4 linked regions of the Macaca mulatta genome follow. The protein of the gene in region 1 purifies or fractionates together with the protein of each later gene. This does not show direct contact. Links are inferred from orthologs where the notes say so. Each region holds a gene or a part of one and is shown on either strand. Other genes may lie near its edges. The genes, in order: KRAS, C1QBP, HNRNPA0 and PRDX1.

The links.
Region 2: the proteins of KRAS (region 1) and C1QBP purify together in Homo sapiens (affinity purification with mass spectrometry; 3 studies listed by BioGRID and IntAct, with this or other methods). This does not show direct contact. The link is inferred for Macaca mulatta from reciprocal best matches to the Homo sapiens genes KRAS and C1QBP.
Region 3: the proteins of KRAS (region 1) and HNRNPA0 purify together in Homo sapiens (affinity purification with mass spectrometry; 3 studies listed by BioGRID and IntAct, with this or other methods). This does not show direct contact. The link is inferred for Macaca mulatta from reciprocal best matches to the Homo sapiens genes KRAS and HNRNPA0.
Region 4: the proteins of KRAS (region 1) and PRDX1 purify together in Homo sapiens (affinity purification with mass spectrometry; 3 studies listed by BioGRID and IntAct, with this or other methods). This does not show direct contact. The link is inferred for Macaca mulatta from reciprocal best matches to the Homo sapiens genes KRAS and PRDX1.

Annotation. Positions count from the first base shown.
Region 1 is NC_133416.1:27,584,240-27,591,593, forward strand, and holds part of KRAS (GTPase KRas), read right to left. Parts: intron 3,693-7,354; 5' UTR 3,681-3,692; coding exon 3,570-3,680; intron 1-3,569. UniProt on the Homo sapiens protein: Ras proteins bind GDP/GTP and possess intrinsic GTPase activity. Plays an important role in the regulation of cell proliferation.
Region 2 is NC_133421.1:6,932,633-6,938,760, reverse strand, and holds the end of C1QBP (complement component 1 Q subcomponent-binding protein, mitochondrial), read left to right. Parts: intron 1-452; coding exon 453-546; intron 547-910; exon of another isoform or gene 911-1,022; intron 1,023-1,661; exon of another isoform or gene 1,662-1,805; intron 1,806-2,399; coding exon 2,400-2,495; intron 2,496-2,749; coding exon 2,750-2,872; intron 2,873-3,007; coding exon 3,008-3,157; 3' UTR 3,158-3,389; downstream 3,390-6,128.
Region 3 is NC_133411.1:146,601,269-146,608,749, forward strand, and holds HNRNPA0 (heterogeneous nuclear ribonucleoprotein A0), read right to left. Parts: upstream 4,408-7,481; 5' UTR 4,239-4,407; coding exon 3,327-4,238; 3' UTR 2,656-3,326; downstream 1-2,655. UniProt on the Homo sapiens protein: mRNA-binding component of ribonucleosomes. Specifically binds AU-rich element (ARE)-containing mRNAs. Involved in post-transcriptional regulation of cytokines mRNAs.
Region 4 is NC_133406.1:195,089,523-195,097,308, reverse strand, and holds the start of PRDX1 (peroxiredoxin-1), read right to left. Parts: upstream 5,020-7,786; 5' UTR 4,953-5,019; intron 2,004-4,952; 5' UTR 1,993-2,003; coding exon 1,887-1,992; intron 1-1,886. UniProt on the Homo sapiens protein: Thiol-specific peroxidase that catalyzes the reduction of hydrogen peroxide and organic hydroperoxides to water and alcohols, respectively.

The sequences.
Region 1 (7,354 bases):
CACCCAACCATCCTTCACTGATGACTACAGATATATGTATAAACTCAAAAGAATAACAGCTTACAAATCACATAAGGCTTTTCTTATACCACTCTTCAGTGTCAGTTTAATTTTACAAATTTTCTCCCTATAATCTACATACTTCATTCGTAGGTAAAATGAATTCTATAATGAACATGGAAAAACAAAAGAAACTGAAAACTGATAAACCTTGGTAAATAAATACTCTACAGCTCACAACACTAAAGATGAAACAAACCAATCCAATTATTAATCTGGTGTTCCTTACTGAATAGGAAACTGTTCCATCAAAGAAGCGCATAATACTTGAATTGAATTATAAGCGCCACAATAAAAGCATGCAGATGTCAAACAATTAGAGCCTGGGAAAAAATATATCTTGCTATATTTATTCTCACTAGCATATTATATACAGTAGATACTTAATATATACTTGGTAAGTGATCAACTAATCATTCTGATCTCTGTAACTACCTACATTTTTTTAAAATGAGACTCTTCCTGTTCCACCCAATTTTACCTTAGAAAAAAAATTTCAGGGTTTTCATAGTAAGACAGCCTCAAATACAAACGTACTCCATCTATGTGTCATGCCTGAATGATTTTACATCATATCTCTGCCACTAAGTTGCCATTAGATAGTAGGCTAAGTTCAAATTTTGATATATTGACAAATCTGAATTAGTCTCCATAAGTAAATATTTTCTTAACTTGAAAAACAGCTGATTCTCAGTTTTAAAAAGTTACACAAGAGTATAGTGGAAATTTAACTTAGTCTCAGAGAATTTAAATTCAAATCCCACCACTCATTAGCTACGTATCCTTAGGTGAGTTACCACCTCTCAGATACATTATTGAAAGAAACAATAGGCCGGGCGCGGTGGCTCACGCCTGTAATCCCAACACTTTGGGAGGATGAGACGGGCGGATCACGAGGTCAGGAGATCGAGACCACCCTGGCTAACATGGTGAAACCCCGTCTCTACTAAAAATACAAAAATTAGCCGGGCGCAGTGGCGGGCGCCTGTAGTCCCAGCTACATGGGAGGCTGAGGCAGGAGAATGGCGTGAACCTGGGAGGCGGAGCTTGCAGTGAGTGGAGATCGCACCACTGCACTCCAGCCTGGGCGATAGAGCGAGCCTCCGTCTCAAAAAAAAAAAAAAAACAAAAAGAAACAATAGCCACCCTCCTCACTACCTCTTAGTGTAAATTTTGCAAAACCTAAGTCACCAAAAAATATAGTATTATTTGATTTAAATTTTTAAAAAATGTATTTCCATCTTAAATGTAGAAAAACTGCTAATAATTCCAAAATGTGCAGTCATATCCTTTCTAATTTTCTCTCTGACCCACACTGATTGGTGAATACCAATCAAAACCTACAATGGCAGTGAAATCCCCATATCCTCCTAAATTTTTAATTTTTTACAATAACATGGAGTCAGCATTTCCATTCGGCCAACTATTAAACTACTAAGTTCTCTTGCCTCTCCTACAGTTTACACCAAGAATTTAATGTAATACGTCAGTTCCCTCAGAGACTCACTGTAACTTGGGAGATAACAGATAATCTCAGATACCTTTTCCCAGGTGACTAAACTACGTCAGGGACCGTCAGTTTCAAAGTTCACAGGTAATCAATGCTTCCCACAGTCAAGTCTTCTGGTTTGGCAGAAATCATAATCAGAGTTATAGGTTTAAGTTTATAAACTTTTTCAACCTTCCCCACAAATAAAGTCTTAACTGTTAGCTTTGTTTCTTCAAGATTTATATTGCATTTTAACAATCGTTAGCAAAAGGTGTCCTAACCCACTTTATCATATTCATGACGTCATGCTATATATACACTCATATAGCATTCATGACCTCTGATTGGAAACAAAGTGTAATGGAATTTCTCAGATTTTCAGGAAAGACAGAGAGCATTTCCAGTAAAACTACCTTCCAAAATCCCAGGAAAACTTTCATGCATAAAGTGAATTCTATTAAAACTTCCTTTTACATCTGATTTAAATAGTAGAGTCTGCCAAGTAACCCTGAATTTGCAATACAGATTGAAATGGGTGTACTATTCAAACCTCCTCAAAGAAACAAACAAAACTGTAGTATACATTGAATTAACTTGTCAAAAGTAAATATACAGAGACTACTGCATAGGCAGTCTACTTCAATTAGACTGTTCCCCTTTACTGTTGTAAATTCTCAGAATTGGAAGCCAAATAAAGTTGTTTCTATGTTTAAATCAAATCTTTGCAAATAGGCATTATTTCTTCACTTTTTTATAGTACCAAAAATAAGTGACATTTCCCTATGATTAGTTATCTAATCAATTCTCCAGGTTCTAAACTGCATACACATCTTCCCAAGGCCACCAATGCCCTCAGAACTTGCCCCAGTGCAAAGTGTTTCTTCAAGACATTACACAGTACAGTACCTTAATAGGGCACTTTGACCTGTTCTAGATTTCACAGCTTGGGACTTCAAGAAAGTTCTCAGAAATTTTTCAGAGCCAATTTTTTTAAACTAGTACATCAGATGTAGAATAAATGCTAAAGGATTAGGACTGCTTAATCAAGGGTAAAGAAGCCTCAGAAATAATCTTACAATATAGGGCTATTTCAAAGACAAGGTGATATGCTTATTTTCCATCTCCACTGATGTTAAATTTAACATGAAGATTCAAATTACGTGTGAAATATGCTAATAAGTATGTTCTGAAAATGGGTTAACAAGGACAGTTGGGGAATGTCCCCTCCTGCAGGTCTCTGAGATTAAATAAATCCTCATCTGCTTGGGATGGAAGGGAATTCTACTACCTGACCTCTCAAGGTCTCTTACAGGTCTTTACTTATTCTGCTGCTGGCCTTTACTTTGGTTACTTTTCATTAAACTAAAAAAAGCTGAAAATAATCCTCAAAACATAATAATTTAAATTTAGTCAAGGAATTTTTTTTTTAATTCTAGCATTTCCTTGAGTAAATTTAAAAATGACAACAAAGCAAACGTAAAGTTGGTAATAGCATCTTTATATAAATCACACCTTAGGCAAAGAATTCATTTTTTAAAATTTATCAGGTAGTCGTAGGTTCTCTAATGTTGAGAAGAAGATAGGAAAATACTGCTAATGAAGTTTAAAAAACTCAACCATCAAACAATTACATTTCACTAGTACAATTAAATCTAACCTTTACATATGATGTCATAATACCAAGAAACCCATAAAAATAAAAGTTACATTAAAAAGATTGCCTTTCAGGTACAGATAGGATACAAATTTCTACCCTCTCACAAAACGCTGAAATATACTTCCAAGCAAAATGCACAGAGAGTGAACATCATGGACCCTGACATACTCCCAAGGAAAGGAAAGCTCTCATATTAATGGTTACATATAACTTGAAACCCAAGGTACATTTCAGAAAACTTAAAGTAACTTTCAGTATAATTATCTTGTAATAAGTACTCATGAAAATGGTCAGAGAAACGTTTATTTGTACCAAAGAATGGTCCTGCACCAGTAATACGCATAATATTAAAACAAGATTTACCTCTATTGTTGGATCATATTCGTCCACAAAATGATTCTGAATTAGCTGTATCGTCAAGGCACTCTTGCCTACGCCACCAGCTCCAACTACCACAAGTTTATATTCAGTCATTTTTCAGCAGGCCTTATAATAAAAATAAGGAAAATGTGACTAAATTAGAACATGTCACACATGAGGTTAATACACTATCAAATACTCCATCAGTACCTTTTAATACAAACTCACCTTTATATGAAAAGTTATTTCAAAATACCTTACAAAATTCAATCATGAAAATTCCAGTTGACTACAGATGTGTATTGTAATGAACTGTACTTCATTTACAAACTCCTCCATCAACGTTTAAGAAAAATACCTAACTGCTGCATAGATAGTTCTTTTATCTTTAAATTCAAGTTGTTGTATCTAAACAGCCACACTGCTGTTCTGCAGCGGCTAAAGGCTCTCAAAGGATCATGACTTCACTCATGCAAGTGTCTAGAACAGTCCTCTACACCCTGTAGACACGCCCTCACAAAAGTTGCTGACAGCTATCTCCACTCCTATTGTTAGTTCTCCAAGTGAACCCCCACCTCTAAGAGTTAGAAGTCACTATGCAACAGCTACAGAAAAACTTTTAAAGCATCATGGCAGTAACTCTCTTGGATAAGTATTAACAGTAAGAATCAGATGAGGGTTGGGAGAATGAGTATCAAAGTTGGATTGTGTCATGGGGAAATAAAAATTTAAACACTAAGGCAGAAGAACAATATTTGATGACATTTTAATGTGTGAAATATCTCTGGGGAAAATAGAAGTCGGAGGTTGCAGTGAGCTGAGATCGCACCACTGCACTCCATTCTGGTGACAGAGCAAGACTCCGTCTCAAAAAAAAAAAAAAAAAAAAAATCTCTGGGGAAAATAAAGGTAAAAACTAAGAGAACTCCAAATTAACTATTCAGTCCAGGTGATGTGATCATCAATCACAATACATAATCCTGTATCACTGCTGCACACAAAAAGATAAAGATTAGAAAGCCAGGTGCAGTGGCTCATGCCTGTAATCCCAGCACTTTCGGAGGCCACGGCGGGTGGATCACCTGAGGCCAGGAGTTCAACACCAGCCTGGCCAATATGGTGAAACCCCATCTCTACCAAAAATACAAAAATTAGTCAGGCGTGGTGGCGCTCTCCTGTAGTCCCAGCTACTCAGGAGGCTGAGGAAGGAGAATCGCTTGAACCCGGGAGGCGGAGGTTGCAGTTAGCTGAGATGGAGCCACTGCACTCCAGACTGGGTGACAGAGTAAGACTCTGCCTCAAAACAAACAAACAAAAAGATTAGAGATAAACACTGTTTTTAGTAAAACAGTTGTTAAGAGATGCAAGTGAATATGTCTCAGTAATCCACATGACTGTTACTCTTTGCTTTTCCTACACTGTCTCCCCACAGGTGCATGAATACTGACAACTTGTATAACAAGCACCACACAGAAAATAAAATATAGTTTCTAGTCAGTTGTTTCAAATTTTTTGAAAAAATATGAATGTTTAATTTCATCTCCTTTCCCTCATGTAACACATAATTACAAATAAGGAGAGAAATGCAGGAAAAAACGGGAGTAAATGCACAATTATTTATTATGGATGAGTAGCTCCATATAATGAATGTGCATGTATTGTAGATAAACACTAAATAGGCCGGGCGTGGCGGCTCACGCCTGTAATCCCAGTACTTTGGGAGGCCGAGGTGGGTGGATCACAAAGTCAGGAGATCAAGACCATCCTGGCTAACACAGTGAAATGCCGTCTCTACTAAAAACACAAAAAAATCAGCCAGGCGTGGTGGCGGGCACCTGTAGTCTCAGCTACTCGGGAGGTTGAGGCAGGAGAACGGTGTGAACTCAGGAGGCAGAGCTTGCAGTGAGCCAAGATCATGCCACTGCACTCCAGCCTGGGCGACACAGCAAGACTCCGTCTCAAAAAAAGAAAAAAGAAAAAAAACCACTAAATATACACCGTATCCTATTTACTGAAAACCAAAAATAATAATTTGGTTTTCCAAATGATAACATACTAACCTTACTCCTAAGCCCTGCCTCAAAAAGCACCACAGGCTAGAAAAATTGTGTCACACACAGTCACAGTACAGTTCCCCGCCTTACTCTGTTCTACCTAGACTTACTGGCTGCTTGTCTAGGGTCAGTTAACAACCACTACAAACATATATCTTATCCTATTTGCCTCCATGCTTTATTTCAAATGTAGGCCAAAGCAATTAGGAATGGATGAGGAGAATTACACTAAAATGTATCCTCTAGCTCTCTGCCTATCCCAACCTCCCCCCAACCAGTTTGCATAGCCTAAAACAGTTCTCAAAAGGTGGTCTAGGAACCCCTCAGGTTACTAAGACTTTTCTGGTATGCAAGAGGTGAAAACTGTTTTCATAGTAACATTAAGATGTCCTTTACCCTTTTCACTCCCATTCATTCACAAGTTTTCCAGATGTGTGATCATAATAGATTGAATGCAGATGCAGATATAAGAATCCATGTCTTCTATTAAGCCACATCATTAAAGAGATTTACCAAAGTGTGAAACGACACCACTCTTCTAAGTTTTGGTTTTGTTTTGGAAAATAGTTATTTTTCATAAAATATTTTATTCATGTTACTAAGTAATGGGCTTATTATTTCTATTTTTAAATGAATTAATACATTTTAAAAAAATTGTTTTAATTTCCAATATGATAAATATTAATAAACCCCACACAAATCAAAGGTTTTTTTAATTCTCAATTTTTTTTTCTTTATAACAAGGTCTCACTACGTTGAGCACGCTGGTCTCCAACTCCTGGCCTCAAGCGATCCTCTTGCCTCAGGGATTACAAGCAAGAGCCAATTTGCCCGGCCCCTTCAATAATAATTTCTAAGAGTGTAGGCCCGGTATGGCGGCTCACGCCTGTAATCCCAACACTTTGGCAGGTTTAGGCGGGCGGATCACCTGAGGTCAGGAGGCCGAGACCAGCCTGGCCAACATGGTGAAATCCCGTATCTAAAAACACAAAAATTAGCCCGGTGACGGGAGCCTGTAATCCCGGCTACACGGGAGGCTGAGGCGGGAGAATCGCTTGAGCCTGGGAGTCGGAGGTGGTAGTGAGCCGAGATAGCGCCACTGCATTCTGGCCTGGGTGACAGAGTGAGACTCACTCTCTCAAAAAAAAGAAAGAGCGTAGACGGGTCCTTAAGGCCAAAAAGTTTACCAGCCTAGTAAATACTGTGGACAGACACTGGATTAGAGTTTGTGTATATGTACGAATTCACAGCCACATATATCTTCTGGTTTACTTGTTTATGCGGTGGTTGTTTCCAGAAAAAAAAAAAAAATTCTTTGAATGAGATTTTTAAAACCAAGTCACATTTAAATCCACTAGAGAGAACTGGGCTCCAAAGTAGTCTTATCAAATGAAGATCATGGGCTGGGAGGAGCTCCCTTACTCACAGTTAGAAAAGCTAATAAGGAGTGGACTGGACTCAAATCCAACAATTTTGTTATGGAAGAAAATTCATTTTTATTTGTCATAAAACGGAATTACCATCCACCATCTCTTAAAAGCAAGTACACTGTGTATGGCTACAGTCTCAAAGTAAACTAATGTTAGCAACCATATTTGGTATCTGTAGTCTATCACATGTAGGAGTCAGCATTTTGGACCTTAGTCACTTCAGTGACACCAGTTATATGGTTAATTCTGAGCTGATAATTACAAATAGACCTTTCCCCTTTATCACTTAGTTTTTAAATGCTAT
Region 2 (6,128 bases), on another chromosome or scaffold:
TTTTCTTATGGGGAAAGGCTCTTAAAGGGGCTTCTGTTCCATCTCACCAGCCTCCCAGGTCCTTACTTTCACCAAGGGTTCCTTGGAAAGACCAGGGTGGGCAGTGTCAGCTGGCTGTGGCCATGAGATGCCCAGTCAACACATGGCAGTGAGCCCTGGGGTACTGGCCCTGTTGGGAGTAACCCATGCATGACTTGTTTGGCTGAGATAAGCTGAGGCCAGCTTTGGCTTCCAGCAGCTGGTACATGGTAGGCACACTTGAGACCTGCTGAATCACTCAGGACTGGATGTAGGTACCAGCCTTGTTTGAAGTTCTGCATATAATTCAGCCAGCTAGGATAGAGACATTGTTTCAGTACACCTTTGTAACTGTAGCAGACCTCCCTGTTTGTGTGTTAACCTACTCAGTTAAAATGATGCCTTGTCTGTTATGTTTTCTCTTGCCCTTTTAGAATCATTGTCACTTTCAACATTAACAACAGCATCCCACCAACATTTGATGGTGAGGAGGAACCCACGCAAAAGCAGAAGGTTGAAGAACAGGAGGTAAGCTTAACACTATGATCAGCTTTTACCTCAGTTCTGACAGGCTGTCCCTGGGACTTAAAGAAGGAGCGTTTTTCTTTGTTCTTTAAAAAAAAAAAAATTTTTTTTTCCTCTAAGGCCAGGCACGTGGCTCACGCCTGAATCCCAGCACTTTGGGAGGGCAAGGTAGAAAGATCCCTTGAGGCCAGGAGGACCAGCCTGAGTAACATGGCAAGACCCTGCCTCTACGAAAGTTTAAAAAAAAACAAATTAGCTGGGCATGGTGGCACGACTGTGGTTCCAGCTATGCAGGAGGCTGAGGCAGGAGGAATCAGTGGTTTCTGGCCAGCTTTAACAGGACTGTGGCCCTCTTCCTTTTCCCAGGGGCAAAATACGTTGCTGTCTGCCAGCTCAGGCTTAGTGGTTTGGCTGGAAAGGAAATGAAATGTTCTCAGCCTTTCCCATGATAGGGAGTTTTGTTGTTTTTGAGAGAAGGTCTCGCTCCATTGCCCAGGCTGGAGTGCAGTGGCACGATCTCTGCCCACTGCAGCTTCCACCTCCCACGTTCAAGCGATTCCCCTACCTCAGCCTCCCCAGTAGCTGGGATTACAGACATGTGCCACCACACCTGGTTAATATTTGTATTTTTAGTAGAGACAGGGTTTCACCGTGGTTGCCAGGCTGGCCTCAAACTCCTGACCTCAAGTGATCCAGCCACCTTGGCCTCCCAAAGTGCCGGGATTATGGGCGTGAGCCACCACGCCCGGCCTATGGGGAGATTTTTTATATTGGAGGTTATCATTTGGTGTGTTTGCATGTGTGGAATGTTCCTAACATATCAGTCACAAGCTGGTAATACACAACAGCCATTTAACCAAGATAAGAATGCCAGGGGCAGGCTAGGTGTGGTGGCTCAAGCCTGTAATCCCAGCACTTTGGGAGTCCGAGATGGGCAGATCACAAGGTCAAGAGATCGAGACCATCCTGGCCAACATGGTGAAACCCCATCTCTACTAAAAATACAAAACTTAGTTGGGTGTGGTGGCAGGCGCCTATAGCCCCAGCTACTCAGGAGGCTGAGGCAGAATTGCTTGAACCCGGGAGGCGGAGGTTGCGATGAGCCGAGATCACACCACTGCACTCCAGCCTGGCAACAGAGCAACACTCTGCCTCGAAGAAAAAAAAAAAAAAGAATGCCAGGGGCATAAGAGACTTTAACTGGATCATGCCTACTCTTCAGACATTTTAGGAAGTGCTGTGCCCAGCCTGGTAACCAGCCAGTACGAGGGCCACAGAGTCCCTAGACCTTCTGCCCAAAAGCCATCAGTACAGTGTTGGGTCATGACCTGGTGTGGATGGCACAGCTCTCTGGTGTGCTTCTTTCCCAGCAACCCCAACTAGCATCTCTCTGACATTGGACCCAGTCTGCTCCCAGAGCTCCACATCAGAGGAAAAGCTGCTGCTGTTATTCAGCCATAAAGATGGCCAGGTTCCCCAGCCTTTGACCCTGGTCCCTTTTGAAGACTCCTGGAACAGTCAAGCTGGAATCTTGAAACTTTAGGAAAGCTTTGCAGTGTATGGGTGGAGGAAAAGGCTTGGAATGTTAAGGAACTGATATAAACTCAGTTAATTGGCACATAGCTGAGGCGGCTGGTATCCAGATTTCTTAATTGAAAATCCAGTGTGTTACTTAAACAAGCAGGGTGCCAACAGAAGTGAGATCAAGCTCTTCATTTGGGAATAGTATGGCATAAGACTATTAAAATGGCTACATAACATCCTAATGGTGGCTCTGAGAAATCTGAACAGAGATCCTTGATCCAGGCATCCATCTCCTTCCAGCAGTGGCATGTACTGACTTCTTGTTTTCCCAGCCTGAACTGACATCAACTCCCAATTTCGTGGTTGAAGTTATAAAGAATGATGGCAAGAAGGCCCTTGTGCTGGACTGTCATTATCCAGAGGATGAGGTATGTAGGATGGAGTGCTAGCCCCTTGGCACCCCTGGGGAGCACAGCGTGTCCCTTGGGAACTTCCTGTCCCTTTTAGCATAAATTTAAAGACTTTCTAGCTTAGACCAGCCCAGCAGGGGGAGAGGGGAGGGGAGTGAGGGAAGAGGGTTAAAACCTGATCAGTTTCATGCTGTCAGCAGCCCCCTTTCTTCGCATGAGTCTGGCTTATCCTGGAGAACCCTTCAGTTTCCCCAAATATTGTTTCTTCTCAGGTTGGACAAGAAGACGAGGCTGAGAGTGACATCTTCTCTATCAGGGAAGTTAGCTTTCAGTCCAGTGGCGAGTCTGAATGGAAGGATACTAATTACACACTCAACACAGATTCCTTGGACTGGGTGAGTGCTTGATAAGATGGGGGAACCTTTTGGGCCGTGGAAGGAAGGGTCCTAGTTCAAGGGGAGAAAGAAACATTTTAATGTTCATTACAGATTTTTTTTTGTTTTTAAACTAGTAAATGTTGTTCTTTGCAGGCCTTATATGACCACCTAATGGATTTCCTTGCGGACCGAGGGGTGGACAACACTTTTGCAGATGAGTTGGTGGAGCTCAGCACAGCCCTGGAGCACCAGGAGTACATTAGTTTTCTTGAAGACCTCAAGAGATTTGTCAAGAGCCAGTAGAGCAGACAGACGCTGAAAGCCTTAGTTTCATGGCAGGCTCTGGCCAGTGAACAAGTCCTACTCTGAAGCTAGACATGTGCTTTGAAATGATTATCGTCCTAATATCATGGGGAAAAACACCAAATTTAAATTATATGTTTTGCGCTCTCATTATCATTTTTCCTGTACAAATCTATTATTTCTAGATTTTTGTATAACATGATAGACATAAAATTGGTTTATCTCCTCCAAAGCAGTGTATCTATTCTATTCCTCCCGCTTCAACCTGCGTCACAAAAGACCAAGAACAGAGATGTCGGAAAAGTTTTTTTTCCTTCAGGATCGGTTAAAAGTTTCGATACAAAATAAGTTATAAATAAAAGGCTTGTATGTACAAGGCTCCTCAGGGAGTGAGTGGTCTTCAACCCGTAGAATGATGTGAGTCCACGCTGGCTCTAGAGGATCACAGCCCAGGTATCACAGGCCTAGGTTTAAACAGGAGAAGAATTAGCTTAAATTGTATTCTAGTCATGAAAGACATGTGATACATCGTTAAAAGTTGTAATCAATGAGAATGCTACACATTAGATGAGGTCTCCTGAGTCTAGTTTGAATTAGTTAGGTCGTGTAATTTGTCATGAAGGCCACCGACGACTGCCCCTCTTTGGCTTTGCTGGACCTCTGTCCTGCAGCCTTCAAACAGCTGTCTGGAAACCGTCAGCACCAACAGTCTTCAAGCTAAGATCAAATCTGCAGATGAACTAATCAAACATCCTCACCTCAGGAAACTACTGACCACAAAGATTGTATGATTGTATTCAAACTCTTGGTAGCTTGGAGCTTTTAGAGCCTAGCAGGAAGATGAGACTCCAAGTCTACACAAGATTGAAGCAGGTGCGTATCACAGGGGAGGTACCAACCATGCATGATCAGTACGGGCAGAAAACATGTCTTCCCCTCGATCTGTAATATGATCAGTAAGCACCTAAGTGTAAAACTGGCTCCCGACTCCTTGGTGGCTCAGCCCCTCCACTATGCTAAGGAATCATCTGTCCTTGAGCCATTTATGCCAGAGGTTGCAATTTTTTTGTGTGAAAAATCAGACCTCGGCGATGACCTTGAGCAGTAGGGGATCAATAACTCCCCCAGGCTTAGCGTTCCACTAACAAAACAGTAGGCATAAATAGGTTACCCTTGTTTCTTACCACTTTCACAGGTAATATATTTGGCTTTCTCTAAAAGACACTATAACCCTGCTAATAGGTGGTTTAGCATATTCTATCCCATGACCACCACCTGAGCACCGTCACATCCAAAATATTCCTAAGTCTTGTAATATAGTGCCATCTTCTGTAACCCATCCCTATTTTCCAACACATCCTCAGTCATCTGTGCTGAGCCTCCCTACATCCTGACTTCACTGAATTCTAACACAATGGTCCTTGAGTCCCCCTTAAGCGAAAACCAAAGGTCTAGTGGAACTAGAGCATTCCAAATGTCTACTTTTCCAAATGTTGAACTCGGAACCTACAGAATACAATTTTGTCTTTCCCCTTCCTGTTTCTTGTTTTTTGTTTTTGTTTTTTTGAGGCTCAATCTCGCTGTCACCCAGGCTGGAGCGCAATGGCGCCATCTCAGCTCACTGCAACCTCCACCTCCTGAGCTCAAGCCATCCTCCCACTTCAGCCTCCCACTGAGTAGCTGGGAGTACAGGTGCGAGCCACCAGGCCCAGCTAATTTTTGTATTTTTAGTAGAGACCAGGTTTCACCATGTTGTCCAGGCTGGTCTTGAATTCCTAGCCTCAAGTGATCCATCCACCTCAGCCTTCCTAAGTGCTGGGATTACAGGTGTGAACCACAGCGCCTGGCTGTGTTTCTCGTGTTTTCTGTGAACCCCGCCTCCCTCACCCCTTACTTACCCAACAATGGTCTCCCTGCCCGCCCCAGAGCCAGCACTGACAACTATGATCTCCAAGACTGCTACACAGCACTCACCTTCCAAACCTCACCTCCCACTTAGCTTCACTGCTGCTCTGAGCCACAGGACACTGACGGTTAGGTGAGTGGATAACTGGGGTCCATAATTATATGCTGAGCTGAAGCTGTACACATGGCAATTAGGCAATCTTCTGCTTACCCTTTAATTGCCCTTCTCGTCCACCCGCCAGCATTTGGTCTTTCACACTCAAGGGGACTTTCATACTTGAGGAGCTGTAGACTCTAGCTCTGCTACCATTATAATCTGTGTAGATGACTCACTGTTCACCTTACTAAGACAGAAGCCAAAGCCAGCTGACCTGTGCCCTCTTCAACTCTCCTCCCTCCACCTTAACTCATCTGTACAAACATATTAAGCACGTATTTATTAATATAGGCCAAGCGCTGGGAGTAGAAATAAATATGGGCCATGCCCTCAAGGACAGATATGGGCAGGTAACTGCAGCACTGTTATGGATGACACGGCATGAGGTATGGTGGAAGCCCAAGGAGACACTGGCCAATTCCCCTCTGCCAGCCCTCATTAGGTTTGTTGAAAAAGGGAACACAGACTCTAAAGGAACGGACTTCTCAGGCTGGCCAATTCTTTTTTTGTTTGGTTTTTGGTTTTTGAGATGGAGTTTCGCTCTTGTTGCCCAGGCTGGAGAGCAGTGGCGTAATCTCCGCTCACTGCAACCTCTGCTTCCCGGGTTCAAGCGATTCTCCTGCCTCAGCCTCCCGAGTAGCTGGGATTACAGGCGTGTGCCACCACACCTAATTTTTTTGGCCAGGCTGGTCTTGAACTCCTGACCTCAGATGGTCTGCCCGCCTCAGCCTCCCAAAGTGTGGGGATTACAGGTGTGACTCACCTCACTCGGCCACCAATTCTGTTTTTGAGACAGAGTCTCACTCTGTGTCCCAGGCTGGAGTACAGCAGCACAATCTCAGCTCACTGCAACCTCCGCATCCTGGGTTCAAGCAATTCTCCTGCCCCAGCCTCCCGAGTAGCTGGGAT
Region 3 (7,481 bases), on another chromosome or scaffold:
GAGTATCCTTAATTTTTAGGTTTATTTAAAAACAAAAATTATGAAAATTAGATTTGAATATGAGATGTTCCAAATCACTAACAATGGGTGAATGGGTACAATCAATCAGTATAGTCATTCTGATTTGATAGCTATCACTGTGAATCGTCACTCTGATTTGATAGTTCACTGTGAACCTTAACCATTTGCAAGCTTTTTTTTTTTTTTTTTTTTTTGGATACAGTAAATCAGTACCAATGAGAGCTTTTTAAATGACCTGAAACACTACAGGTAAGTATTCCAATCAAAAACTCCAAAATGCTCCAAAATCTGAAATTTTTTGAGTGCAGACATGACATTGAAAAGAAATGCTCATTGGAGCATTTTGGATTTTACATTTTTGTATGAGAGCTGCTCAGCTGGTAAATATAATGCAAATATTCAAAAATTGAAAAAAATCCAAACTTAAAACACTTCTGGGCCCAAGAATTTCAGATAAGGGATACTCAACCTGTATCATCTTTAACTGCCTTTCAAACCACTTTCAACTAAAGACTACTGCATTTAGACTTTTAAAAGAATGTAAATGCAAAAATTCTTCACATTAAGATGAAAAATAGGATTAAAAATAGGAGGTTCACTTTTATTTTGCTAATCCGTCAAAATACATTCAAGCATAGCACGAAAATTATATTCAACACTAGGTTCTGTACCACCTGCTCCCATGAACTCTTAAATCTGAATAATGTTCAGATAATTCTCATAGGTGGAAGGGGTCAAAACATACAACCAGTTGTCCGTCCTCCCCAAGTCCCACATGCCAAAATGCTTTTGCATATAAAGTGACAAGAGGAACCCAGAAGTGACTAAATACCACTATGCTTTTTTCTTCACTACAGTTTATAGCAATTTTAAGGGTAGACACATGACAATGAAGTGTTAATATACCATGAACAGGATAGGCTGCCTTCCTAATAAACAGAAAATCCTATTACATAATTCAATTGCAAACTTTAGAAGCCACTATATTCCCATGTTGGGAATATAAAATGACAATAACCTTATTAAACTGAAAACCCTGAGAAAGGTGAACTACTATTCCAATTGACCCAGGTCTTCCCACCAAAACTGAGTAAGTCAAGCAGAGTAGTATTTAACAATTGCAACGAAAAATCTCAGAATCATTTTCTGTATCCTAGAGGCCACTCTACAGCCAACAAAAAGTTGGACCAAATTACCAAATGAAGTAGCCCACATGTAATTTGTATATCACTAGAATTAAAAAAAAGACAGAAATGTATGGAAACTGTAGATTTGAGAGCAAAGGATTTGACTATGTGTTAATCACATCAATGTGCAAAAACATTCACCCCATTTGTCAGAGGATATAACACTATTTGTACCAAGCATCCGCTACCCTTTGTCAAAGTGACTACTGAGCAGCCATAACTTAGCCTAATAATCTTAACCTTTCTTCATACTTCTTTAAAAGTCCTGTCAATCAGAAAAAAAAAAAAAATCTGGCAAGAACTAGACCTTTAGGAATTGAACAGTGACAAAAAGTTAAAAAATGGTTCAATATTAAAATATTATTTTATTTTAAAGCCCAATAATCTTTCAGAAAGTTTCTTAGTATAGCTTTGAGCCTTCAACATCAATATTTAAGTCAAATATTTAAGTTAAATATTATCATAACATCAAGTTAAGCACACTAGATTAAAAGGTACTCTGAACCCACCCACCAGGTTATACATACTCTCACTCAATCATGTAAAGAATTGAATTCTTTATTTGTGATATCCATAAACGTTGCTATTCTATATTTCTATTCAGAAAGGCAATTTTCTCCTATTATCAGTTTTTTCTTCTCTTATAAACAACAACTTGAATGCTATTGCATGAAAGGGCTACAAATATACATTTGTTAACCAAGCAGAATACACAGATATTTTGCTTTACAACTTGCACCTAAAATACCAGTATACGTAGCTGGTTCATTAGTTGTCATAGCAATTTAGGGCTATTGCCCAAGCTATGCATAGCAGTTTACATTTTCAAACCTCATATAGAAAGGGCAATTGTGATATGAACTGGCAACTACATTCCTGTGAAGCCCATCTCAGTTACAAGCAAACGTGTAACTTCCAAGTCTGCAAAGAATTCTGATGGCAAAACTTCTATATCTGATGCAATTGTCCTAAGCAAGTTTTTAAACAAATTGTTTCGCAGCTACTCTGCCATTCTGCCAGTAGGTGGTGCTACAAAGATCGGGAAAAGGATTTCCATGAGGACAACAGTTCAGATATAGAGGGGGAAAAAAACCGTTTAAACCTGCTCTGAAAGTACAAAAACGCATCTGAGGGTAAAATATAACCCTCATTTTTAACCATTCATTACAGATAAACCAGTAAGAGGGATGAAACTAGGCCATCTGAAAAATTTTAAACAGTTTATATGAATGACATGCTTAACACAAACTATATAGAACTACACAGTACACAGTTTGAAGTAAATTGTCATAGAAATGACCAACCATGTCAAGATGGTAAGCAAATCGCTTAGTACAAGAGATGGATGCACAGAAACTTAAGAGTTTAAAAAGCCACATCCACCACTTCAAAAGTTTTGCCTGTAGGGGATATAATTCAACACGCAACTAGCAGGGCAACGGGGGGCGGGGGGGGGGACCACAGGACCTCTTAAGTTTCTCTAAGTACACATCAAGAATAAAGAATTAACACGTAAAGTCTTAAACAAATATCCCTTAAAAACGGTACGGAATGGATCCTAGAAAAGAAATGTTAGACATGTACGGTCAAACACAATGATTTATTAAAAATAAAACGTAAAAATGATTTTTGTACATATGCTTCCAAATTTCAGGCATGGGATCCAAGTAGATTTCATAGAAAACGCTGTAGCCAGGTTATCAAGTCCTTACAACAAAGTAAACTACCCCCCACCCCAACCCCCGCCCAGGTTTTGCTACAGAATCAGCAAGTTCACTCCCTCCCTCCCCCCAAAAAACACAAATTAAAACAAGACATTTTGCTAGTATAAAAACGACCAAGGTCCAAGTAATAATAAAAAAATAGAGTCCATCAATGACTGTAACACAAAAATGTGTATGTGGGGCCGAGTCCATCTTCAGAGGGAGAGACAAGAGAGGTGGCAGGCAAATAGAGGAACACCCCCAAGGGTAAGCAGCCTTAGAAGTGGCTCCCCCAAGGGCAAAACAGGGAAGGCGGTGGTGTGGGTGTGAGGGGGTGGGGCTTAGGAGTTGACCCCACTTGGGTTTTTGAAAAGAGCTACCCCAATAGCCACTCCCAGGCATTTTAAATTTTCTTTTAGAAGGAGCTCCCTCCATAGCCACCCCCACCTCCATAGCCGCCTCTGTAAGGTCCACTATTACTGCGACCGCCCCAGCTGCTGCCTCCGCCGCCGCCGCCGCTCTTCATGGGCCCGTAAGAGGACTGATGCTGACTGTAGCTGCCGAAGCCGCCGAAGCCGTTACCGTAGTCGCTCCCACCGTAGGACGAACCGCCGCCGCCGCCTCCGTAAGCATTGTAGCCGCCGCCACCGCCGCCGCCGTAACCACCGTAGCTGTTGTAACCGCCGCCGCCGCCCTTGGAAAGGCCGTTCTGGTCTCGACCACCGCCGCGCCCCCGGCCGCCTCGGCCGCCCCGGGAGGATCGGGAGCCGCCTCCACCCCCACCGGAGTAGATATCCTCCTTGGGGACTGCCTTCTTCACCTCCACGCGATGGCCCTGAATCGGATGGAACTTGACCACCGCGGCCTTGTCTGCCGCGTCGTGATTCTGAAAATACACGAAGCCGAATCCACGCTTCTTGCCGGACTGCTTGTCGGCAATAATCTCGGCCTTTTCCACGGTGCCAAACTGCGAGAAGTGCTCGATCAGGTCGCCCTCAGCCACGTCTCCCTTAAGGCCGCCGACAAAGAGCTTCTTAACCTTGGCGTGGGCACCGGGCCGCGCCGAATCCTCCCGGGACACCGCCCGCTTCAGCTCCACAGTGTTGCCGTCCACGGCATGGGGCGAGGCGGCCATGGCGGCGTCGGCCTCCTCCACATTGGAGTAGGTCACGAAGCCAAAGCAACGGGAGCGCTTGGTCTGGGGATTCACCACCACCACGCAGTCCGTCAGAGTCCCAAAGGCCTCAAAGTGGCCGCGCAGGCCCGACTCACTCGTCTGCACATTGAGGCCGCCGATGAACAGCTTACACAACTGGGAATTCTCCATCTCCAAGGCTCGGGCCTTGCCCCCGCCCTGCGAGCTCCGAGGTTTCGCCGTCGCCGCCGTTATCGTTGGTTAAGGCCTCTACACAGCTTGGGCCCAGCCGCTGCTGGAGCCACCCCCGCCGGTCACCGACAGGGAAGGGAAAAAGGGAAGGGGAGGGAAGGAAGGAAGAAAGGAAGGGGGAGGGAAGGGGAGCGGTGCCGGCGAAAGGGCGAGCCGAGGAGACTGGAAGACAACCAAGGCCACCGCTACCGCCGCCGCCACCTCCGCTCCCCTATCTGGGCACCACACAAAGAGGCCGCTGAACGCGCGCGCACCCTCCCCGAGGCGTGCGTCACCGCCGACGTACGGCAGCCTAGGGCTGCCCTCCAATCCCCGCCTCGCTCCCCTTAATCCCGCCTACCGCGCCGCAGCGCCGCTCTAGATCACGGACTCCCCGCCCTCCGCGGTCTATTCAAGCCCGCGGCCTGTGCCGCTCCCGCCTCCCCTTCTGCCAACCCGCTTTCATTCCCGAGCGCCCTATTGTCCCTTGACATGGGTCCCTCCCTGCCCTCCGCGCACCGCCGCGATTCATTTCCTCCTAGCACTGCGGCTGTTCCCAGTGTTTCTCCCCCTCCCCTTTCCTCATCTCCGCGCCCAACTCCGCAGTGGCGTTCGCGCCAGCCCCTTGAGAGACATGTCAGTTCAGCCAATCACCGTGATCCCCTCGCACCCACTTCCGTTTTCGGCAGCTGTTGGACGGGCGCGCTCCCCGGTGCGCGCTTGCCCCGGCGCCCCCAGCGTGCAGAACCTGTCTGCCACCCCCTCGCCTTCTGCAGCCCAGGGCTTTGCAGGGGAGAGAGCAGGAGGCGCGCTGGGGGCCATTCCCAGCGGATGCGGCCTGGGGCGCCATGCGCGGGCTTTTTGAAAACTTGACGTTGGGGTTGGGGGCCCGGATCTACCCGCCGCCTTTCCGCTTGTCCGCTACACCTGGCGTCCCCGCCCCACCTCCCGCCCGCACAAAGATGGAGGGCAGAGGCCTGGTCCACGAAGGCGGTTATTAACCGTTTACGGTGGGCCGACATGCGGTTAAACTAAAACTCTGCCACGTGGCCCTGCGCAAAAGCGAGCCCGAGGCGGCGGTGTGAAAGACAACGGAACCAAAGAGCTTCAGACATTACGAACCAGACGAGGCGCGACATCCCTGCCACCATCCCGCCATCCTTGAAGCCCTCCCACGACGCCCTCTCAGAAGGAGGCCCTTTCAGGTCCCCTTGGCATACTCCAAAATTTTCATTTAACCTCAGTGAATGGGTTTTTATGTGTAATTTACATCATCCATGTGTTGCTTTCTTTCAACTAGAATGTTAGTTTTTTGTTTTTGTTTTTGTTTTTTTTTGAGATGAGTTTCACTTTTGTTGCCGAGGCTGGAGTGCAGTGGGGCAATCTCGGCTCAGCAGCCTCCGCCTCCTGGGTTCAAGCTGTTCTCCTGCCTCAGTCTCCTGAGTAGCTGAGATTACAGGCGCCCACCACCATGCCCGGCTGATTTTTGTATTTTAGTAGAGATGGGGTTTCACCATGTTGGTCAGGCTGGTCTGGAACTCCTGACTTCAGGTGATCCATCTGCCTCGGCCTCCCAAAGTGCTGGGTTACAGGCGTTAGCCACCGCGCCTGGCCTAGAATGTTAGCTTTGCTTGTTTTTTGTGTTTTGTTTTGCTTTTTGTTTTTTTGAGACGGAGTCTCGCCCAAGCTGGAGTGCTACGGCACGATCTTGGTTTACTGCAACCTCTGCCTCCCAGGTTCAAGCGATTCTCCTGCCTCAGCCTCCCGAGTAGCTGGGACTACAGGCACGCACCACCACGCCTGACTAATGTGTGTATTTTTTAGTAGAGACAGGGTGAACATGTTGGCCGGACTGGTCTCAAACTCGTGACCTAGTGATCCTCCCGCCTCGGCCTCCTAAAAGTAGAATGTTAGCTTTTTAAAGGTGTTGGTTAGACGAACGTTTTACAGAGAGAAAGAGAGATCATATAGCCCTAAGTCACTGCTTTTAGTGCCCTCACTCAGATGGGAATGGAAGAAAATTACAACGGCTTCCATTTATTGAGCCTTTGTGTGCCCAGCAAGATACATGGGGTGGGACATAGTTAATATGAGGCATTACGTGACCAAAAGCCTCCAAAACTATATGGTAAATACTGAAGAAGTTAAGAGGAATTCCTCACCGTATCCTCAAGTATTCAGGAAAGATTTAGGAAAGAATTGGAAGTTGCACTGAACCTCAGAGCCAAAGACTAGTTAGTATCCTAAACAAATTAAGGCTGGAACAGAAAACCAAATACCACAAGTTCTCACTTATAAGTGGGAGCTACACATTGAGTACATATGGACACAAAAGAAGGGAACATTAGGTCTTTTTTAAGGATGGCGGGTGGGAGGAGGGTGAGGACTGAAAAACTACCTATGAGGTATTATGCTGGTGACTTGGGTGACAAAATTATCTATACACCAAACCCCCAAGACAATTTACCCACATAACAAACCTCCACACGTATCCCTTGAACCTAAAATTAAAAATTGGAAAGGAAAAAAAAAAGATTTCTATATGGAGTTTACTTGAGCAAAATCCAGAGGGAACATAAGCTTCAAGAGACAGGGAGTGGACCAGTTAGTTTGAGAGGAGCAGGCAGTTTTAGATAGAAAACAGTAAGAGGTAAGACAGGTTGAGGGTCTTTGATACTATGAAATGATACTATGGAATGTGTTGAATCTTAGGTTAAGTAGTTAGGGGGATATTGTAACAAAGGTAAATAGATGGACTAAAGTTTGAGGGTAAACTCGTCTGGTCTATCACTTACCCTGTAACCGTCCAGTTATGTGACTTTGGGCAAGTTACTTAACCTTTTTAAAAATGTAATCAGTTTTATTATCTTAAAATGGGAATAGTAAAACATCTTTCTGTTGTAGTGAAAATTAAAGAGATTCTACATGTATACATGCCTGGCACATAGTAAGTGCTCAGTTTGTCCAATTATATGAATCCTATGCCTGGTGGTGGCAATATGGCTGTAAACAACAGACAAAAACCTGTGCCCTCATGATGCTTACATTCTAGTGGGAAGAAGCAGACAATAAACAAGAGTGGTATATGGCATGTTAGATAGTGATACATTGGAAAAAAAACGAAAGAGGACAGGAGAAAGCTATTAACCATGTTATTACAAAAAAAAAAAAATTCAAATGTCAGGATTTGCCTATTGATAATAA
Region 4 (7,786 bases), on another chromosome or scaffold:
ATGTTTGCAAAGTCAAATAGGCTGGGTGTGGTGGCTCAGCCTGGCATGGTGGCTCATGTCTGTAATTCCAGCATTTTGGTAGGCCGAGGCAGGTGGATCACCTGAGGTCAGGAGTTCAAGACCAGCCTGACCAACATGGTGAAACGTGTCTCTACTAAAAATACAAAAATTAGCTGGGCGTGATAGCGGGGGCCTGAAATCCCAGCTACTCGGGAGGCTGAGCCAGGAGAATCACTTGAACTGGGGAGATGGAGGTCGCAGTGACCCAAGACCATGCCACTGCACTACAGCCTATGCAACAAGAGCAAAATTCCATCTCAAAAAAAAAAAAAAGTCAAACAAGCAGCCCTTTTAGACATTACCACTTTGCAGTATCACTGGAAACTAACTCATCTAAACAACCCCTGCAGGGATTTGCCTAACAAGCACCATGGGGCCTCAGCAGGTCAAACCCTGGAGGGCAGAGAGCAGCTGCTCCTAGACCTCCTGCTTATACTCCTGGGCCAAGGTCACCTCCCTACGGTGCAACTTACCTTGTTTGCTAGGAGAAGCCCCATCAACAAACTGTGATTATGTCAGGAAACCTAGTCAAATGTTCTAGCAAAAACTAACTTCAGAAACTGATGCTACACCACTGAGAAAAGGACACTTGACACCTGAGTTTCAGGTTTGCATTCTAAGGAATCTATATCCTCAACTGTCCCAGGAGATCCAGCTGCTCTGGGACTACAAGGTAAAGGAAGGAGGAGCCTCAACAGAACTTGCCAAGTGTCTGCATGAAACTATGACAACAGAAAGGAGAGTTGTTCCATCTGTAATATCAACTCTCCTCTGGGGTCAAAACAGGCAAGGGAAAGTGCCTAGCCCTCAGCTTAATATTAACAACTGTAATATATATGTGACCCAAATGAACAAGCAGTGTCACAGCTCCAAAGAGTTGAGTGAGTTCTGAGACTTTAAATGTAGAATGTCTCTTATAACAAGAGATAGCCGGGCGCGGTGGCTCAAGCCTGTAATCCCAGCACTTTGGGAGGCCGAGGCGGGCGGATCACGAGGTCAGGAGATCGAGACCATCCTGACTAACACGGTGAAACCCCGTCTCTACTAAAAAATACAAAAAAACTAGCCGGGCGAGGTGGCAGGTGCCTGTAGTCCCCGCTACTCGGGAGGCTGAGGCAGGAGAATGGCGTAAACCTGGGAGGCAGAGCTTGCAGTGAGCTGAGATCCGGCCACTGCACTCCAGCCTGGGCGACAGAGCGAGACTCCGTCTCAAAAACAAAACAAAACAAAACAAGAGATAATGTGAATTTCTCCAATAATAAAATAGAGGAGGGCCAGATGCAGTAGCTCACACCTGTTATCCCAGCACTTTGAAAGGCTGGGGCAGGTAGAGGGCTTGAGCCCAGGAGTTGGAGATGGTGCCCATCTCTACAAAAAACACAAAAATTAGCCGGGCATGGTGGCATGCCCCTACAGTCCCAGCTACTTGGGAGGCTGAGGTGGGAGGATCGCCTGAGTCCAGAGAGGTAGAGGCTGCAGTGAGCCATGACTGCACCACTGCACTCCAGCCTGGGTGACAGAATGAGACCCTGTCTCAAAAATAAAAATAAATAAAGAAAATAGAGGAGGAATACTAAAAAGATAATTGAGCTAGTATGTCCAGACATAATGAAGCATGTGGTTTCTCCAGAAGTGGTTTGGTCCTAGGATATATACCCTGTAATCACTTGATAATCACTACTTCAACATGAAGGTAACAACCTAAATACTTCTTTCTAGGAGACAAAACGTTTTACAGTCAAACATAACACTGACACAAATCTAACAAGCCATCCCTAGAATATAAAATAACCCCATCTCAATGAGCCCAGTGTAAATTCTCTTACCTTTGTAGTCAGACAGGCTGATATCTTTAAACTGACCATCTGGCATAACGGCTGTGGCTTTGAAGTTGGGGGCAGGGTGCCCAATTTTAGCATTTCCTGAAGACATCTTCCTATTAGCTAGAAATAACAGAAATTAATTAGAAACAAGCCTTAATTTTCTAGATAACCAGCAGCCTTCACCTACTTAAGAGACTTAGCTGTAGAACAATCAAGGCATTGTCCAGTGTCCCTGAATACATTAAATGTTATTTTAGTAAGAAGCTCAGGCCAGCAGTCAAGGGTCACAATCAGAGCTTTTGAAACAAAACAAGTCTCTGAATCTCAGCCTTTGTTTTCATTTAAAAACGACAAGGCAATTTCTTTATATACTAAGAAAACCTCTCACTCTTTCTGAACCATAATTAGTGCAGTGGCATCTTATTCATTAGACAGAAGCAGAGAGGGAGGCAGGTGAAGACTCTCAAACCAGAATCCGAATGCACAATGCCACAAACACTTTTGTTTGGCTCATAGTCATGTTGACCTTTCCCATTACTGTGCCTCCACCTGCCTTAATAACGTCAGAAGCATATTTGACTTTTCTCCAGGTAGCTTTGTCAAAGACAGCACACGGTCGACCTATAACTAACACAACTTGTTTTATTTTATTTTTTTTGGACGGAGTTTCGCTCTTGGGGCCCAGGCTGGAGTGCAATGGCGCTATCTCGGCTCACCGCAACCTCCACCTCTAGGGTTCAAGTGATTCTCCTGCCTCAGCCTCCGGAGTATCTGGGATTACAGGCGCTAGCCACTACACCCGGCTAATTTTTTTGTAGTTTTATTAGAGAAAGGGTTTCTCCATGTTGGTCAGGCTGGTCTCGAACTCCTCACCTCAGGTGATCGCCCAACTCAGCCTCCCAAAATGCTGGGATTACAGGTGTGAGCCACCGCACCCTTCCAGCCAGTCCAACTTTTAAGAGGCAAGACCACTGGGCGCGGTGGCTCACACCTGTAATCCCAGCACTTCCGAAGGCCGAGGCAGGCGGATCACAAGGTCAGGAGTTCAAGACCAGTCTGGCCAACATGGTGAAACCCTGTCTCTACTAAAAATACAAAAATTAGCCGAGAGTGGTGGTGCATGCCTGTAATCGCAACTACTCAGGAGGCTGCTGAAGCAGGTGAATCGCTTGAACCCGGGAGGCAGAGGTTGCAGTAAGGCAAGATCACACCACTGCACTGCAGCCTGGGCGACAGAGTGAGACTTTTCACTCTGGGCCATACAGTGAAGAAAAAAAAAAGCCGGTGGGGGGGGGGGGCGCGGGAAGACCAAGATATTGGCGTCTGCTTAATTTCAAATCTTTAGGTATTGTGTAAGCCCTAGAAGTCCCTTCACAAATGGGTTCCTGACTTCTGGGCTAATATCCCAGGGCGAAAAGAAGTAGAACAAGAATCAATTTACTTCTGAAAAGGAAGGTTGCGCAGGATTCACCCAGATCAACACCAAGATAAGCATCGAGATCTTGGCCTGTAATGCCAGCACTTTGGTAGCTGAGACAGGCAGATCACCTCAAGTCAGGAGTTCGAGAATAGCCCGGCCAACATAGTTAAACCCCGTCTCTAACAAAAATACAAAAAGTTAGCCGGGTGTGGTGGCACGCGCCCGTAGTCCCAGCTACTCCGGAGGCTGAGGCAGGAGAATCACTTGAAACCGGGAGATGGAGGCTGCAGTGAGCCGAGATCCCGCCACTGCACTCCAGCCTAGGAGACAGAGCAAGACTCCGTCTCAAAAAAAAAAAAAAAAAAAGTTCGCGACAGGCCTGGCCAACATGGTGAAACCCCGTCTCTACTACAACTACAAAAAAAAAAAAAAAATTAGCCGGGCGTGGTGACCGGCGTCTGCAGTTCCAGCTACTCAGGAGCTGATGCAGGAGAATGGCTGAACCCGCGAGGCGGAGCTTGCAGTGAGCCGAGATCGCACCACTGCACTCCAGCCTGGGCGACAAAGCGAGACTCCATCTCAAAAAAAAAGAAAAGAAAAACAGCAAAAATTTGCCGGGGCTTGGTGGCACACGCCTGTAATTCCAGCTACTCGCGAGACTGAGGGAGGAGAATTGCTTGAGTTCGGCAGACAGAGGTTGTCCCAGTAAGCCGAGACCGCACCACTGCTACTCCAGCCTGGCCGACAGAGCGAGACTCTCTCAAAAAAAAAAACAGAGTTTTAACCCACTGAGCCGCAGTCTAAAAGTTTTTCCAAGTCCTAAAGTTCTTTAAAAACTGTTTTTTAAAAAGTCCTTAACACCTTTAACGACAAAAAACAAAAACCAGAAACTAATGCATGCTGCAACTTGGTGTCCCCAAATGGCCTTCTCGTCCCATCCTACTTTCCCAGGTGGCTCCCAAGTACCAAACCCAACCAATTCGGGGTAAAGGCTGCTTCAGGCCGGCGCCGGGCCCCTTCAGGGGATCTGCCCAGTGCCGAGGGCCACACCCCTGAACCCCACTTCAGGTACCCCTGTCCCTCCCCAGCACTGTGTAAAGTACCAGCAGAAAGAGTGCTTCAGCGGGGACATTTGGGCTCATCACTAACTCCATTCCACGTACAGGAAAATAAAGACGGGGAAAGGGTACCCGAAGCTCCGCAGCTAGTCAAGGCTCAGGACCCGGAACAGCATTTACCCTATCACAAGATGGACAAAAATACAGGCTGTCTTCTACAGCCACGAGTCCGGATACAGGTCCATTCCAGAAGCTTCCCGAACCCACCCCGCCCGACAGGAGGCTAGTCTTGGAGACCCCACCACCAGCCCGCCCAGACGCCGCGCCACGTGCTCAAGTTGCCGGGGAACGACTCGACTCGAGTCCACGCTAGCCTTGGGGTCCCACGTCCCCGCACCTACGTGGGGGGCCCATGAGAGGGGTGCGCGTAGCGCTCAGGCAGTCTCGGGCTCCGGGTCTCCCCCGGCCGCCTCACGCATCACAGTACCCCCACCCAAGGGCGGGCGAGCCCCGGACAGGAGAAGGAAGAGGCAACAGACAAGAAAGGCGCGCCGCGCCTCACTCCGCAGAGGCCGCGCTGCCCACACTCACCAGTCCTAACACAACTCACAGATCAACACCACGGAAGAACAAAACAGGCAAGAACAAAACGCGCAAAATCCGCCCGGGGCGCTGCCTTTATAGCCAGTAGGGCTCTCGCGAGAGTCGGAGCGGACCAGGGGTTCTGGAAGAGAAGAAAGAGGAGGGGGATGTGGCCCGAGCCCCGCCCGGCGCGCCCCACCGGAATGACTCGGCGCTTTTCCTCGTGGGGGCGGGCGCGGAAATACTAATACCTCTCCCTGCTGCGGATGGCTGAGGCTGGAGTGAGGCGCTCTTGTGGCCGCTCCCAAACCCAAACGCTTAGGTTAATCCAAGGTCTCTGCGAAAAACCAGGATTCCCTTTACTTCCAGGACCACTACGCACTGTGCCCTTAATGCCCAAACCGGAGTAAGCGTCCTAGCTGCTGCCCACGGATGACCACGTCTAACCACACCAAGCCATGAGAACTGTCTGTCCGAATATTTCTTAAGTTAAGCAGCCTTAACCCCAGCGCAGATCCTCAGTAACCCTCATGGGTTAGATAGCTTCCTTCATTGTTCTCTTTGATTACAGGGTTGCTGCTTTCTGTTGTAAAGCAAAATAAAATATCAGGACTCCTAAACTTATGCCAAAGGGAAAGTTCAGTTTAGGACGCTGATTCAGCTACACGACCATCCTTTCCCCGGATGAATAACTTGACTTTACAATCTTGAGTCAAAATATTACACATTAGCCAGACCTACACAGTAAGGCAAAAGGCCTCAGACACTTCCTGATGACTACCCCCCACAAACACACATACACAAAATCACAATTATTTGCTACCCTGGAAACCTTTAAAGTATGTAGCCTCCCATAAAACAAGGACGTGTCAATTGTAACTAGATCTGCAATCTAAAGTCTAGTTCCTAAAACGAAAGTTTGTTGTATTCCACATTTTTTTTGAGACGAGTCTCACTCACCCTGTCGCCCAGGCTGTAGTGCAGTGGCACGGTGTAGGCTTACTGCAACCTCCACCTCCCGGGCTCAAGCGATTCTCCCGCCTAGCCTCCGGAGTATCTGGGACTACAGGCACGCACCACCATGCCCAGCTAATTTTTTATATTTTTAGTAGAGACGGGGTTTCATCCTGTTGGCTAGGCTGGCCTCCAACGCCTGACCTCAGGTGATTCACCCACCTTGTCCTCCCAAAGTGCTACGAATATAGGCGCGAGCCACCTCACCTGGCCTCTATTCCACAAATTCCATAAATGTTGACTACTATATTACCTTTCTACTAGACTACTTTCTACCTTTCTAGTAGTACCTTACTACTAGATTACCCTGAGTCCATCACACAATTGTTTTCTTCCGCTATTCCCATTTTCCTCAAACATTCACCTTATCTTGTGTAAAAATGTAGATTTAGGCCGCCGAGGAGGGGGCGGATCATAAGGTCAGGAGTTTGATACCATCCTGGTCAACATGGTAAAACCCCGTCTCTACTAAAATACAGAAAATTAGCTGGGCGCGGTGGCGCGCCTGTAGTCCCAGCTACTCGGGAGGCTGAGGCAGGGGAATCGCTTGAACCTGGAGGCAGAGGTTGCAGTGAGCCGAGATCACCACTGCACTCCAGCCTGGCAACAGAGCAAGACTCCGTCTCAAAAAACAAAATGTAGATTTACTGAGCATTAGCTAAAGTCTTCGCCTCACTTTCCCACCCCCACTTTTCAAAGAAAATGTATAAATGCTAAAAACCTCCTGAGAACCTCTTGGGAAGAAGCAGCCACAGAAGTGTCTGTGACATGGTTTAGTCTGTTTAGTCACTCATTTCGATTAACACTATCTCTTATCCATCCTTTCCACTGCAGCCGAAGGAAATTTTTCTGAAATCTGATCATGTCACTCTTATTTGTGGTTTAAAAGCTGGGGCTAAAGAAAGAAATAATAAAATAAAATTTAAAAAGAAAATAAAAATAAAAATAAATAAATAAAAGCTGAGGCTCTGTAGTCAATTTACTGAGTTAAAACTTCTCAGCCGGGCACGGTGGCTCAAGCCTGTAATCCCAGCACTTTGGGAGGCTGAGACGGGCGGATCACAAGGTCAGGAGATCGAGACCATCCTGGCTAACACGGTGAAACCCCGTCTCTACTAAAAAATACAAAAAACTAGCCGGGCGAGGTGGCGGGCGCCTGTGGTCCCAGCTACACCGGAGGCTGAGGCAGGAGAATGGCGTAAACCCGGGAGGCGGAGCTTGCAGTGAGCTGAGATCCGGCCACTGCACTCCAGCCTGGGCGACAGAGCCAGACTCAGTCTCAAAAAAAAAAAAAAAAAAAAAAACAAAAAACTTCTCACTATCAGGGCCGGGCGCAGTGGCTCATGCCTGTAATCCCAGCACTTTGGGAGGCTGAAGCAGGTGGATTACCTGAGGTCAGGAGTTCGAGACCAGCCTGACCAATGTGGAGCAACCCCGTTTCTACTAAAAATACAAAATTAGCCGAGTGTGGTGGCACATGCCTGTAATCCCAGCTACTCGGGAAGCTTAGGCAGGAGAATTGCTTGAACCGGGGAGGCAGAGGTTGCAGTGAGCTGAGATAGCGCCATTGCACTCCAGCCTGGACAACAAGAGTGAAACTCCGGTCGGGCGCGGTGGCTCAAGCCTGTAATCCCAGCACTTTGGGAGGCCGAGACGGGCGGATCACGAGGTCAGGAGATCGAGACCATCCTGGATAACACGGTGAAACCCCGTCTCTAATAAAAAATACAAAAAAAAAACTAGCCGGGCGAGGTGGCGGGTGCCTGTAGTCCCAGCTACTCGGGAGGCTGAGGCAGGAGAATGGCGTGAACCTGGGAGGCGGAGCTTGC